Stegostoma tigrinum: one gene and its partner. The protein of the gene in region 2 interacts with the protein of the main gene of each other region in a pairwise test. Links are inferred from orthologs where the notes say so. Each region holds a gene or a part of one and is shown on either strand. Other genes may lie near its edges.

Region 1 (10,034 bases), on a different chromosome or scaffold from region 2:
GATCTACAACAACTTGTCGCTGAGGGGGAAGTGGAAGCTGGAGATGAAGAAGAAGTAGTCCAGGATGCAGCAGCACAAGGGCTTTCCACTTCTGTTTTGTCTTCTATCCTAAGGGAAATTGAGAAGCAGTTGTAGCTGTTAGAGGACAGTGATTATAATAGAACACAGGAGGGTAGCAGTTCGTGGAATAAGATCTTATTTGGACCCTATGAGCAGCTTCTTCATGAAAGAAGAAAAAGGGTAAAGCAGCAAAAACTGGATGTCTTTTTTAAGCCAACTCTCAAGAAACAGAAGACAATGAACCACAGCCATCCACTTCTGGATTAACTATTTTCCACCCAAATCCTGCAACCACAACTGCACCTGAAGGCGATGATGACGACGATGATCCTCCGCCCCTGCATTAGAAACACAGCAACCTTAAAACTTACCCCCCCATCAAGTCATCTTGACGCTTTTTAAAGGCACGTTGTTAAATTTACTTTTATTTCATTATTAGATATGAATTAAAGATTTAGTCAAACTCTGCTATCCTTTGTGTTAGGCTTTTGAGTAATTTTTGAGAGATTTTGAGTGATTTTTTTTGGTGATCTGCCCATAACCCCACTTTTCCCATAGGCCCCATTATTTCTATAGCACGATTTTCTATTATACAATGTTGCGCAGGAATGCAACTATCGCGTTGTAGCAGAACCAACTGTATTATTTGAAAATATACACAACTGGAAAACAAAGGGAGAACTCTTTAAAAACACCTTTATTTAGGAACAAATAATGATACATGTAATAAATATTGGAGTATCAAACTAGTAGTATATGGATTCTCCTCCCCCCATGTTTAAACTACATACAGAAAATGGTGCCTTGCTATTGGACGCATTTAATGTGAACACGCACGTGCTCTGTCACAACCCAGACGTCATGGAAGAAAATGGTGCTGCTGAAAGTGTGTAATATGAATAATTGCATTGAGGATAAATGACAGATGAGACAGAGGAAGTGGGTGCAGAATCACATGCCTGCAGGTAGGCCCCTGCTCTCACAAGGCTAGAGAGGGCAGACATTCCTGCTGCCAGCCTTCCACTCTCCCACCCCACCCACCAAACCCCCTTGGTTCACAGCATGTACGGTGGCCTTGCTGCATTATGTGCAATCACAAATCACTCTAGATCAGATCTACTTAACTAGTTCAAATAACATCCATGAAGTTACAAGATCCCGGATGAAGATCATTGAAGGTAAAAGCCTAACTCATTGGCAAAGCTCTGATGTAAGGGAAGAATATTCTCGGAATCTCTGTCATTCAGAATTGAGAATATTCTCTACACAGCAGAAAGGCCTGCTTAAAGTTCAGATTAACTTGTGAAGTCAATGAAATTGCTGATGCTGAGCAAACAACTATATTTCAGTGAGTTTACAAAATTGTTTTCAGAGCAGGGAAACTTAAAGACTGAATATCCCATCATCTACATGATGCTAAACCAATTTGCTTATGCATGCTGAGGACATTGTTGGGCAAAATTTAAGATAAGAAATAGAAGATGGACTACAACACAGAGTAATTTCAGCAGTTACCATGCTAACAAGATGGTATTCCAGTACGATTAGTTTTCCAAAAAAATATATTTCAATAAGAATGTGCGTAGATTTAATGCAGTTCAACAAAGCAGTGGAGCATGAATTCACCTAATGGCTTTTAATCAATGAAAGTCTGGCAAAATTTGCCAAGAGCACCCTATGCATTAAACAGTGGATTTTGACATTTACCTCTGGATGAGGACTCTAGAAAGTTAACTGAATTGATTACACCTTTCAGGTATTATTGTTTGAAAAGAATACCTTTCAGAATTGCACTCATCCCAGAAATGTTTCAGAGAATAATGTCCAATACATTAAAAGAACTCAACTGTATAAAATGTCATTTAAAAAATGAAAGAACAGGGTTGAAGGGTTTGAACTATAGGGAGAGGCTGAATAGGCTGGGGCTATTTTCCCTGGAGCATCGGAGGCTGAGGGGTGACCTTATAGAGGTTTATAAAATCATGAGGGGCATGGATAGTGTGAATAGTCAAGATCTTTTCCCCAGGGTAGGCAGTTCCAAAACTAGAGGAACATAGGTTTAAGATGAGAGGGGAAAGATTTAAAAGGGACCCAAGGGGCAACATTTTCACGCAGAGGGTGTTACGTGTATGGAATGAGCTGCCAGAGGAAGTGGAGGAGGCTGGTACAATGACAACATTTAAAAGGCATCTGGATGGGGACATGAATAGGAAGGATTTAGAGGGATATGAGCCAAATGCTGATAAATGGCACTAAATTAATTTAGAATATCTGGTCGGCATAGACAAGTTGGACCAAAGGGTCTGTGTCCATGCTGTATATCTCGATGACTCTGTGGCTCTATAACTGCGGATGCTGTAAATCAGAAACAAAAACAGAAGTTGCTGGAAAATCTGAGCAGGTCTGGCAGCTTCTGTGGACAGAAATCAGAGTTAACTTTTTAGCTTCCACAGTTCTGACCCGAAAAATTAACTCTGATTTCTCTCCACAGATGCTGCTACACCTAGAACATAGAACATTACAGCACAGTACAGGCCCTTCGGCCCTCAATGTTGTGCCGACCTGTCATACCGATCTCAAGCCCATTTTTGTTTCTCTAGGAAACAATCACACAAAATGGTCAGCTTTTCCAGCAATATTTGTTTTTATTTCAGAATTAAGTTAGCTTGTTTAAGTTTGACTTCTGACTTTGTCCACCCCAGCACCTCCACATCATGTTTAAGTCTGTTTAAGGGTCTCAGGAAGAGATATTGACTAAAGAAATAGCATTGAGTGAATGCAAAGGCTTTCTGAAAAGAAACCGAGTACAGCCATGCCAACTGAACTTTAAATTGCAGGCTTTTGTGAATATGTTCTATGACTGACTAGCACAATAGAAATAAAATGTATGGTCTATCAAGCCAGGTTTCACTTTGGGATCTGACTTGTCCAATAGTACCACTAGCTGGGATCATAACGAAGCCACTAAAATCATTTTCTGAAGAAGGGTCAAGGCCCAAAATGTCAACTTTCCTGCTCCTCTGATGCTGCCTGGCTGCTGTGTTCATCCAGCTCTACACTGTGTTGTCACTGAAATCACAGAAAAGCTATGAGAATTTTCTCACCTAGGAATGTCATGGAAATTCAAAGACTCCTTGCTATGGTGAATTTATTGGGCAAGTTTCTACCAAACTTGGCAGAGGTTAATAAGCCTTTGTAACAGCTTTTAAAATACATTTGTCAATGGTGCTGCAACATCGACCAAGAAAGTGCTTTCAAAAAATTTAACAACTTCTGATCTCTTCAGAAATCGTAGCAACTATCATCCAGGTTTACCGAATATAATAGCGATAGATATGTAATCTACAGAATTGGGGGCAGTGCAATTTCAAATGCAGGAAAATGAAAAGCATGCACAAGTTTAGTATGCCACTAGATCACTAACAGAAACAGAACAGTATTACACCATGATTGAGAAAGAAACTTTAGCAGTAACATGGCATATGAAGGTTACACCTCAAAATTGAAACCAACCATAAACCCTGTCTTCTGATCACAAAAGAAATCGCCTAGATGCTGCCTAGAAGTCAGTGGTTCAGGTTAAAATTTGTGAGGCATAATTCAATTACTGAGTATGTCCAAGGGAAGTACCAAACAACAGCAGAAACTCTCTCAAGGATACCATCAGAACAAAAGGTTAAACCTTAGTATTGAGGAGCTTGAAGCCTACACTTCAGAGGTTACTAACCACTTACCAGTTACTGAAAGGAAGTTGTCAAATATACAAGAAGCCCAAAGATAGGATGAAGAAAATATTGAAATCCAGAAATATGGTCTGGAAGGATAGTCAAATTATATACCTAATAATCCAACACTGCCCCAGTATCTCGTACAGCACAAACACCTGTTTTTGATGACTTGCTAGTCTTTAACAAGAGCTTGACTGTAAGACATCAGAGCAGAAGTAAGGCATTCAGCCTATTGAGTCTACCTTCCCATTTCAACAAGATCATGGCTGATCTGCTAATGCTCAACTGCACTTTCTTGCCTTTTCCCAAAGCTTTACCCTGTATCTAACCCCTTGCCGTACCTGTCCTGCAATTCCTTAAACACTAAAGTGCCAAGTTGAACTTGTACCACCTAAGTGCCAGGCAGAGACCATTTCCACTAAGAGAGAAGCTAACCATCTCCCCTTTATCTTCAGTGTCATTACCATGGCTGAATTCCCACTGTCAACATCCTGGGGGTAAAACAGTGACTAGAAGCTTAACTAGACCAGCCATATGAACGAAGAGATCAGATCAGAAACTGGAAATTCGGCAGTGAGTAACTCACCTCTTGACTCCTCAAAACCATGTACAAGTCAGGAGAGTAATCATGCATACACACTCTTCTCTTGACAAGTTTGAGGCAGGAATGAGGAGAAATGTTTTTCACGGAGGGAGATTGATCAGTGGATTCCCTTCTCCAGAAAGCAGTGGAGGCTGGATCATTGAATATTTTAAAAACTAATTTAAGTAGATAATTGATTGATAAGACAAATAGGTGGTAGACAGGAAAGTGGAGTTAGTGCCACAATAAAATCAACTGCGACCTTATCAAATATTGGAGCAGGTTCAGAGACTTAGTCCTGTTCCTAATTTCTATGTTCATATATAATGAATGTTGATGAGTACAGACCCAACAACACTCAAGAAAAGTGACACTATCCTGGGCAAATCAATCAACTTAATTGGCACTCGTCCATCATCTTAAAATATATTCTCTCCACCATCAGTCCAAACTTGTAGTAGTTTGTGCTATCTAGAAGGTGCATTACAGGAATTTGTCAAGCCTCCAAATCTACAACCACAATCATGCAGAAGGACAAGGCAGCAGACAAATGGGTATTTCCTTCACTGTCACATGATCAAAATCCTGCAACTCCCTTCCTAAGAACGCTGTGGGTCTGGCTACTGCACATGGACTGCAATGGTTCAAGAAGGCACTCACCAATTTAGAGATATACAATTACTACTGCTAGTGAAGACTAAATTGCATTAAAAATTACAAATTATTATTGTGTATTATGTACAAATTGCCTGTAATACTCATTAAATCCCTACAGAGTGGAAGCTTGGTCCATTTGGCCCATCAAGTCCATACCAACCCTCCTAACAGCATACCACCCAGACTCACCCTGTTCCCAAGTTTCAACAGACTTAACGCGCACATCTGTGGACTGTGGGAGGAAACTGGAACACCCAGAGGCTAACCACTGAGGCACTGTGACACCCCGTGTTTCCCTACATTACACCAGTGTTTAAAATTCAAAAATGTTTTCTCAGCTGCAACGAATTTTAGGTTTTCCTGAGGCAGTGAAAAACATTATAGAAATTCAAGCTCTTTCTTAAGTGACCCCCAAGAGATGGAAATGTACTCACATAAATGCTGCAAGTTTGGTCGAATTGAAATTATTTCAAAGAAATAGGGATATTCTGTCCTGTTAAATCTAACAACAGGAATTTAAATCAATCATTCAATATTAGGAGCGCTTTGGGCCTTCCTGTATATTATTATGATGATATATTAATTGCGCTATGCAAAAAATGCAACGCATATATTTTCCAATTATAGAAGTCAACTCTGACCTCATTGTTTTCTGTCACCTGATGACAAAGGGGCAACCAACTTCACCGGACCACAGGAAGTCCCGCCTTCACTAGATCAGCTTTCTGATTGGTTCACTTACCATAATCACCTATTCCTAAAATCATTTGGCCAGTGGTCAGAATTTTCTGTTAATCACTTGGAGCACCTATCGCTATTGGTCATGTGCACGGCTCTACCCGCCTTCTTTTGTCATTGGTGAAATTAGCTGTCAATAAGGATTTGTCAACTTTTTATTCTATTCCAGTGCTGCCAATCAACTTACGCAGGCGGCAGTGGTCCAGACTTTTGGCTCGGTCTCCAGTTCATGCGACCCTATTTTTTAAAAAAAAACTTGTGAAGTTGAAGGCGTCGTGAAGGTAAAACAAAAATCTGATTCTAGTCATCATTGTTTGTAAATTACCTGTCCCTAATGAAAGGTAAATGTGGGTTCTTCCTAATTGAAGGTTCTGTGTTCCACAAAATGTTTTGCTAAGTGTTTTCCAATGGGCGGGTAGAAGCCGACTTCAATATTCATCAATGTATCTTCTATCCGAAGACCAGATTTTAACACTCCGCCCCCCACCACAAGTATGGCATTGATGTTGTCAGCCGATGGCTACTAACTTAGAGCAGGGTTTTTCCTTGAAGTAAGCCTTGATCCTTTCTTGCTATTGAGATTTCGTTTTGTTTCGGTGGGACGTTAAAATAACGTTCTGGACCATATTGCTAGTCTCCCCTATTGAAGTTGAGGACCATGTCATAGCGCTAATAACACTGTCTAATACAACGTAACACCCGTTTTCTAGTGCTTCTCTGTGGGGACAGTGTCCTCGACGTAATGTGACTGAGTGCTCAGCCCACTAATCTTTGTCTCTCGTATAAATCAAGCCGATGGCCCAAGACTATCTTTCCAATTAATTCAATTGAAAACAAACATGATTAATTGCCAATAGAGATCCACATGCATAGCCTATACTTGAATAAGTTAAAGGTCAATGAGCAAACTAATTTACTTGCGAGTGTCTTCTTCACCAGCAGTGCAGTTCGAGGAAAGAGCAACAAGACTGTGGGCCTAACAACCTCTGTAAAGGCAAGATTGTTTTTCCCTCAACAAATGCCAAACGTTTTCTGTCTGAATATTCCCAGCACTTTGCATTGTCAATAGTTTGTATTAATTTAAAAATTCAACTGACTCAAACAGCAAAAACCAGCTGCATGCAAGTGGTTCTCATATTTGATAGAATGTATTGTTTTACATATGGCTTCTCTCCTTTTGAAGGAAAGCAGCCACTACTTATTTTGAAGTAGATAGCTCCTACGAAGTGCAGTTGATTGCTCCATTTTTCAATTTAAGCAGCCAACAGGAGTGTCAATACTTTTAATTTTTAATTTTGCCTTTTCTCTCTCCTGGTTTTGTCTTCCATCTTGGATGTGGATGTACTTGCACTTAGTTTTTTTTCCTTTAGTGGTTCTGTGTGGGGGTTGGGTATTTATCTCACTGTGCAGACTGTTTCTTCAGTTCAAAGGTACTTTCATGCACCCTCCATTTAAGGGTGACTGGCTGATCCAGTGCAAGTCACTATTGACTAAGTTAAAACCTCTGCTCTAATCTGATCAGTTCTAGGTAAGACCCACAGCATTCCTCAGTGAAAGAGCCAAAGGCTCATCTATCAAGTCTGAATTAAGTAAAATCTCTAGGGGAAAATTGGGTTTTATCAACTGTTACTTGACTGCTCTTATGCAAGATACAGTTGCACTGGGGGAGCAAAATGATTATTGGGGCAAGGAAAGCCAAATCAAATGCCTGCAAATATAAAGTTCTTTGACTATTAATCACTTAATGCAGTGGTGAAGCAAACCATCATTGTAAAAAAAAGTCTAAATTGTCTAAGCTACTGTGCAGAAGTTTCACTTTTTTTGTAATATGTTCAAACTGCATTTTGTCTCTTTTTTTCTGGAGGTTTTATTGAGCTAGAGTCCTTCTGATATGAAGCATAGGGCCCTTCCAGTAAGCTATTTCTGTACACTTTTTCTTGCCTGGCTGCCCCTGTGGCTCAATTCAGTCTAGTTGAATTTTTTGGTAATATCATACTTTTGACTGAAAACTTGGTGTTTACTCTGAACATTTCCAGGTCTGCCTTTAAGGCTTCTTTCAGAATTGTGTTATGCCTGTAAACCCTAAATTCATCTCATCTAATCTAGTATTAGAATTCTTGGACTCTTATCTACTTGTGCTTATTTTGCATAGGATAGCAAATAAATGAAATGTTCCAGACCTTGAGATTGAGTAAACCTGAGTTCAGAAATGAACTTCAAATCTGGTTAGGCTTCCACAGTACATGTCTAATGTGGTAAAAGGACATCCTGTATTGTGCCTGTTTTTAAGTTAATTTCCATCCTGTTGCCACTGCTAACATGGCAGTGATTGGCAGTCTGGACATAGGGTTTGGAATCCACTGGGAACAAGACTTCCCATGCTATGGCTGTCAAAGCTCTTTCATCCCATCGCTGTTAACGTCATTCTTCAATCTGCACTAACCCCCTGTTTGTAGCCAGGTGTTTACTTGACTTAAAATTCAGTTAATGACTCTTGATGTTTTGAACCTTGGTGTTTTAGGTTAAATCAACCTGGGAAGCTTTATTGGTCCACACTTGACCAGTAAACACTGATCATCTCTTTTTGGATTGCTTTCATGAGTGGATTTTAATTCTTGAACTCCAGTAATAGCCATGGCACATGACGTATAAACTGTGTAGACAAGTAGTTTGTGCTGTCATCTAGTGACTGCAAAGCTGTGGCTAAACCTAGTTTATAGGAATGTGATTCATGGGGAATTTTGTAAATTTGAAGTAATGTGTATGAGTGAAACCTCCCAAAAGTGACTAGTCATTCTTTGCATTTCCAATATCCCCTTTAGTTTCACCAAACTTTTTTGCACCCTTGTTGCTTAATCCAAGCCAGCTGTTATGTTGTCAGTATGTGCAGGAGTTGGTGTTGTTGCTCATATTTCATGAAATAGAAATGTCTACCTACACAAAGGGAGCTAATCTTTAATATGCCTTTTTTAAACTTGAGTCACGGTGCTTGACCAATGTAAGAGTTGCTGGGAGGATGTGATGGCACAGGCTTGTTGAGTTTCAGTAATGCTACCTTCTTTAACTTGTAATCTTCTAGTGGAGAAGCAGTGTTCAATATTGTGTAAAGAACAAAATTTACAGCACAGGAACAGGCCCCTTGGCCCTCCAAGCCTGTCAATCCAGATTCCCCCTCAACTTGTTGCCTATCTTCCAAGGATCTGTATCCCTCTGTTCCTTGCCCATTCATCTATCTGTTTTAGATACATCTTAAATGACACTATCGTGCCTGCCTCTGACAGTGTTCCAGGCACCTGCCATACTCTGCATAAAGAACTTTCTATGCATGTCTCCCTTAAACTTTCCTCCTGTTGAACTGTAGGGTAGCTTGATCTTAGTAGGATAACAGGTGTAGCTTTCAGCTTTCTGGAAACCTAAACCTGAAACTGAGACAAGGCATGGTCATATAGTTTACAATGAGGTTCTTTTGCAGCTGTACTACTTGAATTTGTTCTGAGTGTTTTCAGGCTTATGGATTTAATTGCTTGTCTTGCTTGAATCAGGATGACTAGTGCTGCTTCTAACATGTGGCCAGAAGCCACAGTTAAGGAAATGTACAAATAGGTGAATTAAATGACTAGTCTTAGAATTGTTTTAAAGTACACACGCTCCTCTCCATCCTTACTACCCCCCACCCCAAAACAAATTCACATTATTACTTGCAACTAGATTTGGCTTTGACTCACTAAAATGTGCTAGAGTGAAGGGCTATTAGGGTTACTACCACTGCACCACATCTGAGCCAGAAGGCCTAGGTTCAGGTGTCTCCTGTTCAAGGCACAAAACATCTGAGCAAGTTAACTGGACTGAGGGCAAGAGTCAAAAGTTGAGTTGTTTTTACTTGTTCTGTTAACTGGCATTAGGGGCCCATTTCCCCACTGCAGCTCCTTTTTAATCAGTCACCTTGCAAACCAATCTGGCCTCATGCAGAACAATGGTGGTTTACCCTTCAGCAAGATGGTGAGAATGCTTTGATCTTAAACAATAAATTCCTTGCATTGCTCATCCAGACATGATTTGTCACTGCTTTTCCACCTGTATTAACTTTATTTTTTAGTCAAATGTCTATTGTTCCTTCATTGCCATTGGTACTCCTGCTTAGTCAAGTGGCCTCAGACCAATGCAACGATTTTGCTAAATTGCAGCAGTTATAGTATGAGCAGCCAGTGCAATGAACACTTACTGAAGTGAAGATGGCTTGAAGCCATCTGGAGGAAAATGACATCACT
Region 2 (10,148 bases):
GACAGAAAGGAAAGACCATCACCACTGGAATTAAACAAACAGGGCTACAACCAAGTTTAAACATTCCTTCACTCCTTCCAACTGAACAGAGAGGCAATGGAGGAGGTGAAAACAAGATGTCCTGGGGTAGTACAGAACCCAAAAAGATATTCTTAACAGGATAGATGGAAGAAGCTGAGACTCTTTCGCCAAAGAGAGAATGTCTAAGGGGAGGCTATGATTACAATTAATGAGTGTGATAAAAACAATATGAAAGTTCCATTTGTGCACTGCTGCAAAAGACATTTTGTCAAAACCTTTCGAGCACTTATCAGGACATCTGCAAGAGTACCAACGTTAAGTATGACAATATTATCAAAATAAATGCTATCGCGATGTCAAGTGGACTCAAATTGGTAGACATGTTGCAATGGAGATTGTATCAGTTAGTTCATGACTGACAGTTAACTGCCAAGCTATATCAGGAAAGTTGACTCTGAATAATTTCATCAGGACGTGGCTCCCAAGAAACCGACTTGATATTGGCTGCTGCCATTTTGTTACGTTGAAACAGATGTGAGTACATGTTATCTGCAAATAGGGTCTTGTGCCATTTTATATGTAGTTCTTCCAAGTGAGCCACACTGCAAACTGAGCTGACAACCTTACATTGGTTGTCAGCATAATTATTAGCATGCTCAGGGTTATTCAGCTAATGTTTTAACAAAGAGTCAATCTGATAGGATGAACAAGAGAAACCTTTTTACTCAGAGTGGTGGGAATGTCAAGCTTGTTCCCACATGAGGCAAACAACATAATGACATGTAAAGGAGAAGCTGGATTAACATCAGGGAGGGAATAAAAAAAAGTACAAAGATATGCTGATAGGGTAAATGAAGTAGGCTGGCTAGAGCATAAACATTGACATAGGTCCATGGACTGAATGACCTGTTTGTGTTGCACAACTGATGGGCTTGTCAACAGATGTCAAAGAACCAGATTCAGCCCAGTACCTGTCAGGATGAGTCCAACTTAAAAATGCATTATTTCTGTCCTCAGTTGATCCACCTATAACTGCTCCTTTAAATCTCAGGTCCCACATCACAGTTCTGCAAACCCACTGCTTTCAAGATTGTTAACTTCTGTCACATCAGTGCACAGGCCTGTTTCAATCATTCCATAAACACCACTTTCTGAAATATGAAAGTACACAGACAAGACTGCAATGAGAAAATTGACCTCTCAGCCACAGGAGCCATACAGTGAATGATTTTTCCATCACAACACAGCAACAATTCTGGCTAATGGCTTCATGTATGCCCTCCCACTTGTTCAACCTCAAAGTCAAACACCTCTCATTCCTGACAGTGCCAACTGGCTGGAATGCAAAGCACAGCATCAAATGCGTCAGCAAGGACGGACTAGAAAGAGATCATAATGTGCAAACTCACATTAGACTGAGGCAAACTCACAGAGTGGAAAACATGGGGGCCCCTCAGAGGATGTTAATGAACTTGTGAGGAGCAACATTCAGAAACAAAAACATATCAAAAAAAACAAGCATTATCATGACTGAGCGTCAACTGCACCTCATCTGCCTACATGTAAAAGCCATGCATGAATCCTCATGAACCATGTAACATATCACATGACTTTGACCCAGAATGTGCACACTGTCCTACTATACTTCAAATATCTCACCTTTACCCACTTTCCAATCAGCGTTATTCAAATGCAATCCCAGAACAGAAGTAACTCAACACCTCTCTGAGCATCAACCCATTGCAATGTACAGAATAAACACATCTAAATTGGTAATTAAAAACCAAAAGAACTGCAGATGCTGTAACTCAGGAAAACAGAAATTGCTGGAAAGGCTCAACAGGTCTGGCAGCATCTGTCAAGAAAAATTCAGTTAATGTTTCGGGTCTTGCAACCCTTCCTCAGAAGTAATCTAATTTAGTACCTTCTCAGGGCCTAAGGTTGCAGGCTAGCAGGTGAAGGAGCCCTAACAAGTACAATGCTACCACCAGACAGAGGAGTGCCTTTAAAGTGGGTGAAGTACAGTCAGCATGCAATTTGTTCCTGACTGTTGCTGTGCTTTCCGTGTGTTGTTAGAACTGCTTCTGTCCAAAAAAGTGGACAAAAGTGTTTTTGTTCAGTAGAATATTCAAAGATTTGGTCAGAAGAACATTCTAAAACAGTAAAAAACAATACAATCCTAAAAGAGTGGATAAGCAAAGGGACCCATACACATCTATCAAAAGATCAATGAGAGTGGCAGGCCATTTGGAGATTGCAGTTAATAAAGCTCTGCGGTCAGCTATACTAATAGCGGCATACAGTACAAAAACAGGGAGGTAATGTTGAAATTGCACAAGACACATAATAGACCTCATCCAGAATTCTGTGTACAGTTGTAGGGACATTATAAGAAAGATGTGAATGCACTGCAGGTAGGACATAGATTATTTACAAGCATGGATCCAGGGATGAGAAACTACAGTTATTAGGATAGATTGAAGAAGTTGGGATTGGTCTCCTTTGAGAGAAGGCAGCAAAGAGGATTTCTGATGTAGGTCCTCAAAACCATGAAAGGACTAGACAGAGTAGACCAGGAGAAGCTATTCCTGCTAAAAAAAATTGCGAGGAACTAGATATAAAAGGATGCACAAATGAAGCAAGGATGATGTGACAGAACTTTTTTGGGGGCAAGCAGTTAGAGTATGGAATGCATTACCAGGAAATGTGATGGAGGCAGGTTCAATAGAGGCATTCTAAAAGTCATTAGATGATTACTGAGATGTAAATGGTGTGCAGGGATATGGAGAAGAGTCAGGCAATAGGTAACAAAACCAGGCCAGGCACAATAGGCTAAATGGGCTCCTCGTGCGCTGTAACAATTTTGTCATATTGTGGAAATGCTTTATCCTGGATGGTGTCAAACTTCTTGAGTGTTGTTGGAGCTGCACTAATCCAGGCAAGTGGGGAGTATTCCATCACACTCCTGACACATGCCTTGTGGATGGCGGTTAGGCTTTGGGGATTCAGGAGGTGAGTTACTTATTGCAGTATTTCCAGCCTCTGACTTGTTCTGTATTTATATGGCAAGTCCAATTGAGTTTCCGATCAATCGTAATTCCCAGGACGTGAAGAGCGGATGATTCACTGATGGTAACACCATTGAATGTCAAGGGAAAGTGGGTGGATTGTCTCTTATTGGTAATGGTCATTGCCCGACAATTGCATGGTATGAAAGTTACTTGCCACCTTTTTGTTTTGCCCAAGGCTGGATATTGTCCAGATCCTGTTGAACATAGACTGCCTCAGTATCTGAGGAGTTGCAAATAGTGCTGAATAATGTGCAATTATCAGCAAACATCGCCACTTCTAATGTTATGATGGACGTAAGGTCATTGAGGAAGCAGCTGAAGATGGTTGGGCCAAACAGGGCAGAGTATCAGCACAACAACTCCCCCCAGGATAGTGTCCCACAACACCCCTAACACTTAGACAAAAAGCCAAAGCAAAACCCCCTCCAAATCTCCACCCCTCAGTTGTGACCCTCTGCCAAGGCATGTCTAGTCCCAGTAATGCACTGGTAGCCAAGTTTCTTTATCTCAGCTTTAGTATTGGGTCTATAACATGACCCAGAATCAAGATGCTTACCACTCACCTATATCACACACAAGGTAAAGAGGCACCAGGAATTGGCTGGTAAATAATTTGCCATGTGTTGAGCAAATGTGAAATAAAGCGACTGAATAGAAACATTCTGGGAGACATTTGTTATGATCTGCAGAGAGACCAATAACGGTGAGAGCAGAGACGGACACCGAGCAGGACCTGAGTGTAGGTGCCATAACAAATGAGCTTCTTTTAGAGAATATATTCTCTGCTAATACCACACTCCTGGAAGCATGTGTCTCAGGTCCCAAAATAACATCAAGCCACTGTAGGAAGCCAGTCTCATTCTTCTGGAATATGTCTAACACACCAGACAGCAACAGAACTGTCAAACACAGAAAACTGACAACAGACAAAAATAACATTGCACAAGAAATCTAACACAACCTTTAAAACAAGGAAATACAGAAAATACACCAGGGCACAGAATGCAGTTTTAACCCCGTTCAGCAGATGGATGGCTTATGGGATCGGGATTTACAACCCTGCCCAGTATTAATGATAATCCACTAACTTCAGAGTGAATTGGGAAGGATAGTTGATGAAAGGAGACAAAGCCTGTTTTCTGACACAGTTTCAATTAGATTTATTCCCAGACACACCCAACCCCATTCCCACATTCAGGAACACACAGACTCACACAAGATCACAACCCAACCAATCCTCCCAGTGACCCTGAACCACCCCAAATAGCTGCCCGCCTCAGACATACTGCCCACCCACAACAGCCCCTCGACCAACACCACCCACTCACCCAGAAAAACCCTTAGACACAAACACAGAGCTATGCGACCCCACCCCAAAATGGATGGTGTCAAAGGTGGGGAGGTGGCTGGGGGTTGAGGGTAGGGAGAACAGTGACAGACGGGGTGAGGGTGGTGGGTGTGAGATGAGAACGGGGTGTGTGTGTGTCGGGGTGGGGGTGGTCCGTGCCCCGTCCCGGGTGGGGCTCGATGCTGCCGCAGGCCGCACTCAGGCCTTGGCTCCTGCAGGATGGGGAGGAGTACCCAGGGCCTGCCTGCCGGGGCCGGGATCCCAGCCCGTATCCCTCAGACTCACCCGCTGCAAAATCCGGCGGAACATGGCCTGGTCCTGCCCGAGAGACAGACGGAGCCGGGGACACGTTGAGCAGAGCCTGGGCCGCCGCCTCCTCCTTGTCCTGCCAGAGCCAGCAGCCGGCTGTGTTAGCCCCACCCAGAAAGGGAGGGGCCTGAGCACTAACGCCCCCTGGCCGAGGGGATGGGGGAGGTGCCCCCGGGGTGGGGTTGGGGGAGGTGCCCGCAAGGTAGGGCCAGTGGTTGGGGGTGGGTGTCACCGGGTTAGGGCCAGGGGGTGGGGGAGGTGCCCCCGGGGTAGGGCCAGGGGTTGGGGGTTGGGGGAGGTGCCCGCAGGGTAGGGCCGAAGGTTGGGGGAGGTGCCCCTGGGGTAGGGTTGGAGGAGGTGCCCGCAGGGTAGGGCCAGGGGTTTGGGGAGGTGTCCTCAGGGTAGGACCAGGGGTTGGGGGAGGTGCCCGCAGGGTAGGGCCAGTGGTTGGGGGAGGTGTCACCGGGTTAGGGGTTGGGGGAAGTGCCCCTGGGGTAGGGCCGGGGGTTGGGGGAGGTGCCCCTGGGGTAGGGTTGGGGGAGGTGCCCGCAGGGTAGGGCCAGGGGTTTGGGGAGGTGTCCCCGGGGTAGGGCCAGGGGTTTGGGGAGGTGTCCTCAGGGTAGGACCAGGGGTTGGGGGAGGTGACCCAGGGTAGGGCCAGGGGTTTGGGGAGGTGCCCCCGGGGTGGGGTCGGGGGATGTGCCGGCAGGGTAGGGCCAGGGGTTGGGGGGGTGTCACCGGGGTAGGGCCAGGGGTTGATGGAGCTGCCCGTAGGGTAGGGCCAGGGGTTGGGGGAGGTGTCACCGGGGTAGCATAGGAAGAGGTGGGGGTTAGTGCCATACCTCTCTCTCCTTCCTAGATCTCTCTGCCTCCATCTCTGCTGACCGCCTCAAAACTGACATCTATTTCAAGCCCACCAACTCCCACAGCTACCTAGACAACACCTCCTCTCACCCACATTCCTGCAAGAATGTTATCCCCTAGTCCTAATTCCTCCGCCTTCGCCGCATCAGCTCCCAAGATTAGGTGTTCCACTCCCAAACATCCCAGGTGTCCTCTTATTTCAAGGACCACAACTTCACCCCTTTAGTGGTCAAAAATGCTCTCCACTGCATCTCTTGTGTTTCCCGCACTTCTGCCCTCACAACCCCTCCCCCCCAACAAAAACAAAGACAGAATTCCCCTTGTCCTAACATATCACCCCACCAACCTGCGTATCCAATATATCATTCTCCGCCACTTCCACCACCTACAATCTGAACCCACAACCAACAATATATTTCCTTCCCATCCCCATCTGCCTCCCTTAGGGTCTGCTCTCTCGGTGACTCCCTCGTCCGATCCACACTCCCCACTAATCCCACCAGCCCCACAGCCCTCAGCACCTCTCCCTGCAACTGCAGGATGTGCTACACCTGCCCTTACACCTCCCCCCTCATCCAAGGCACCCAACAAACCTTTCACATCAGACAGAGATTCACCTGCACATCCGTCAATGTGGTCTATTGCATCCACTGCTCCTGATGTGGCCTCCTCTACATCGGTGAGACCAAGCAGAGGCTCGGAGATCGCTTTGTACTGTGCCTACACTTGATTCACGACAAATGACAACGCTTTCCAGTCCCGAACCATTCCAACTCCCCCTCCTACTCCCTGGGTGACGTGTCCATCCTGGGTCTCCTCCAGTGTCACAATGACGCCACCCAGAAACTGGAGGAGCAGCACCTCATATTCCGCCTCGGGAGCCTACAGCCCAATGGCCTAAACGTGGACCTTGCCAGTTTTAAAATCTCCCCAAGTCCGGCCTCATCCCATGACCAACCCTCCCTCTCATCCAGCCTCCTTGACCTGACACAACCTGTCCATCTTCTCTCCCACCTATCCGCTTCTCCCACCTCACTTGACCTTCTTACAAAAGAAATTTGAACTTCCAGTTAACAGATGAAAGGCCAACATGAGGAGATTGTATTTTTGAGATTTATTGTAACAAATTAACTAAAAGTAACAATGACTGAACACTGCCTTTACTTTAAATTATAGAACCAAAATTTTTCTCCTTTACTTTTAACGTACTGAAAACCCAGTTTTCCAGGTAAACATTATGCTGTCTATCAAGCAGGCTGTCTATCAATTTTTAGACTCTTCCCCACAATTCTTTCTCTAGTACATCAACGACATCAATGACACCTGGGGCGGCATGGTGGCTCAGTGGTTAGCACTGCAGGCTCACAGCGCCAGGGACCCAGGTTCGATTCCACCCTTGGGTAACTGTCTGTGTGGAGTTTGCACATTCTCCCCATGTCTGTGTGGGTTTCCTCCAGGTGCTCCGGTTTCCTCCCACAGTCCAAAGATGTGCAGGCTAGGTAGATCAGCCATGCTAAATTGCCTGTAGTGTTCAGGGGTGTGTGGGTTGTAGGGGGATGGCTCTGGGTGGGATGCTCCCGGGGGGGTGAGGACTTGTTGGGCCGAAGGGCCTGTTTCCACACTGTAGGGAATCTAATCTAATCTGTGCTGCCTCCCTCCCTTGTCCTGATCTGGGAAAAAAAGATCAATTTCACTTCCAATTTCCACCCTACCCTCACCCTCATCTGGGCCATCTCTGACTCCTCCCTTCCTTTCATTAATGTCCTGTTTCTATTTCTGGGGAAATAGGCTGGCCACTGACATCTGCTAGAAACCCACCAACTTGCCTGGTTACCTGGACTGTACATTCTCGCACCTTGCTTCTAGTAAAAACTTGATCGCATTCTCCCAGTTTCTCCATCACTGTTGTGTCTGTTCTGACGATGCCACTTTCCTCAGGGAGCCCAGGAAATTTCCAGCTTTTTCCTCAACTGAGGATTCCCCGCTACTGTGGTTGAAAGACCCTTAGCCATGTCTGGCCCATCTGCCTTTACCCCTTCCCTTCCCTCCCACATCAACGATAGGATCCCACAGTCCTCACTTACAACACCACCAAGCCTCTGAATCTAAAGGATTGTAAGTCGCCAACTCCGTCACCTCTAGCGGGATGCCGCAAACAGGCACATGTTCCTCTCCCCACCCTTTGTCAGCATTCTGTTCCCTCTGGGACACCTTGGCCCACTCCTCGCCCATTCCCAACACCTCCCCACTCTCCCACAGCACCATCCTATGCAAACGCTGAAGGTGTTACACCTACCTGCTCACCTCCCTCCTCACTATCCACGGCCTCAAACACATCTACTGTAGTCCCTGCCCACAATGTGGTCTCCTCGACACTGGGGAGATGAAATACAGACTGGGTGACTGCTTTGCAGGACACCCAAGCTCTGTTTTCAAAAATGACCCCGAGCTTCCAGTTAGCTGTGACTTCACCACACCACTGTGTTCCCACACCAACATTTCCGTCTTGAGCCCACTGTTCTAGTAATCCTCAGTGCAAGCTCACACAGATCCTGGGGGGGGGTCTAGGCCCAAAACGTCAGCCTTCCTGCTTCTCTGATGTTCCTTGGCCTACTGTGTTCATCCAGCTTCACACAGTGTTATCTCAGATTCTCCAGCATCAGCAGTTCCTACTATCTCTCTCAAATCATGTAGCTGTTTTGTTTCTTAAATTGTCAGGGTATTTCCCCTTTATTTCCTCTTTTTCTGCTACCCTCAATCTTACCCATTAGCACCAGGTGTTTTAGTTTCCGTCTCTTGAGTGTATGACCAAGGCATTATAGTTGTTTTATGGTGACCATCTGCAGATGTTTTCTTGTATTTCTGCTTTGCTCAAAAGTCCCATGACTAAATCCAACTAATGCTATTTATAACAAATACCTTTTCTATACCATTTTCTAAAATCAAAACTGAATACCAGTAATACTATTTCTTGTCAAAATATTAAATATATTATAATGTTCTTCACTCTACCAAGTGATCCTTCCTAGTTTGTTTTCTTTATTTTGCTGAAATAAACCACACAGAATGACAGAAAAAGCCATTCAGCCCATTGTGTTTATTCCAGTTCTCTTAATGAGTGTCATGATCTAGTACCATTCTCTTGAATTTCCCCTGTAACCCCACATATTGATGATTATCTAAATAGAAACAATATCTGAAGAAGGGTCTAGGCCCGAAACGTCAGTTTCCTGCTCCTCTGATGCTGCTTGGACTATGTGTTCATCCAGCTCTGCACTTTGTGATCTCAATACCTCCATTGAACCTGCCTCCATCACGTTTCCAGGAGGTACATTCCCGACCCTAATCACTTGGAGGGTGAAAACTACTCTCGTCATACTTACCCCTTTTGCAAATTGCTTTAAAACTGTGCCCTCCCGTTCTTCACCCTTTTGAAAGCAGGAATAGATTTGCTCTCTGTGCCATCCAGATCTCTTATGATTTTGAAAATTACAATCAATTCTCCTCTCAAAGGAAGACAGTCCCAATGTCATAGCATCATAGAATCCCTACAGTGTGGTAACAGGCCCTTCGGCCCAACAAGTCCACACCACCCCTCAGAACATCCCACACAGATCCATCCCTCATAACCCAACTAACCTATGCATTCCTGAACACCATGGGCAATTTAGCACGGCCAGTCCACCTAACTTGCACACCTTTGGACTGTGGGAGGAAACCGGAGCACCCGAAGGAAACCCACACAGACACAGTGAGAATGTGCAAACTCCACACAGACAGTCACCCGAGGCTGGAGTCAAACTCAGGTCCCCAGCACTGTGAGGCTGCAGTGCTAACCACTGAGGGTAGTTACGTTGGTGCAGGATCGATGGGCCGAAGGGCCTTTTCTGTGCTCTATGAATCTATGAATTTCTCCAATCTACCCTCACAGCTGAAATGTGTCATCCCTGGAACTATTCTTGTAAACTTCTCTGTGCTCTCTCAAAAAATTCCTGAAGTGTAGCACTTTTATTCCAACTGAAATCTAACTTGTGCCTGAACATGTTCAACACTACCTCCCTGCTCTTGGACTCTGTCCCGTTATTAATGAAGGCTAGAGTTCTCCACCAGTCTTGCCACCTTTAATGACTTATGCACTCGGGTCTCTCTACTACCTTAGAATAGTCCCCTTTATTGTGTATTGTCTCGACATATTGTTTCTCCCAAAATGTATCACCACATATTTCTCTTCATTAAACTTCATCTGCTACCTATCTGACCACTCCATCTACTTGTGAATATCCTTTTGAAGGTCTGCACTGTCCTTCCTACATTAAGAATGCTTCCAACTTCCCCTGCCCCAATGTTTATATCATTAACATAAATCAGGAAGAGCAAGCTACCTTGCTTGGGAATTCCATTCCTCCAGCCTGAAAAATATCATTGGCCATTGCTCGCTGTTTCCTTTTGTTCAGCTGAGTTTGCATCCACATTGCCACAGCCCCTTTTATTCCATGAGTTAAATTTTATCACAAGTTTGTTATGTGCCACTGTAT

The links. The genes of interacting proteins can lie anywhere in the genome.
Region 1: the proteins of eea1 (region 2) and ras-related protein Rab-5B interact in binary tests that used the Homo sapiens proteins (3 or more experiments, as listed by UniProt). The link is inferred for Stegostoma tigrinum from reciprocal best matches to the Homo sapiens genes EEA1 and RAB5B.

Annotation. Positions count from the first base shown.
Region 1 is NC_081404.1:10,988,009-10,998,042, forward strand, and holds the start of ras-related protein Rab-5B, read left to right. Parts: upstream 1-5,934; 5' UTR 5,935-6,047; intron 6,048-6,705; exon of another isoform or gene 6,706-6,760; intron 6,761-10,034. UniProt on the Homo sapiens protein: The small GTPases Rab are key regulators of intracellular membrane trafficking, from the formation of transport vesicles to their fusion with membranes.
Region 2 is NC_081378.1:49,456,891-49,467,038, forward strand, and holds the start of eea1 (early endosome antigen 1), read right to left. Parts: upstream 4,852-10,148; 5' UTR 4,750-4,851; coding exon 4,726-4,749; intron 1-4,725. UniProt on the Homo sapiens protein: Binds phospholipid vesicles containing phosphatidylinositol 3-phosphate and participates in endosomal trafficking.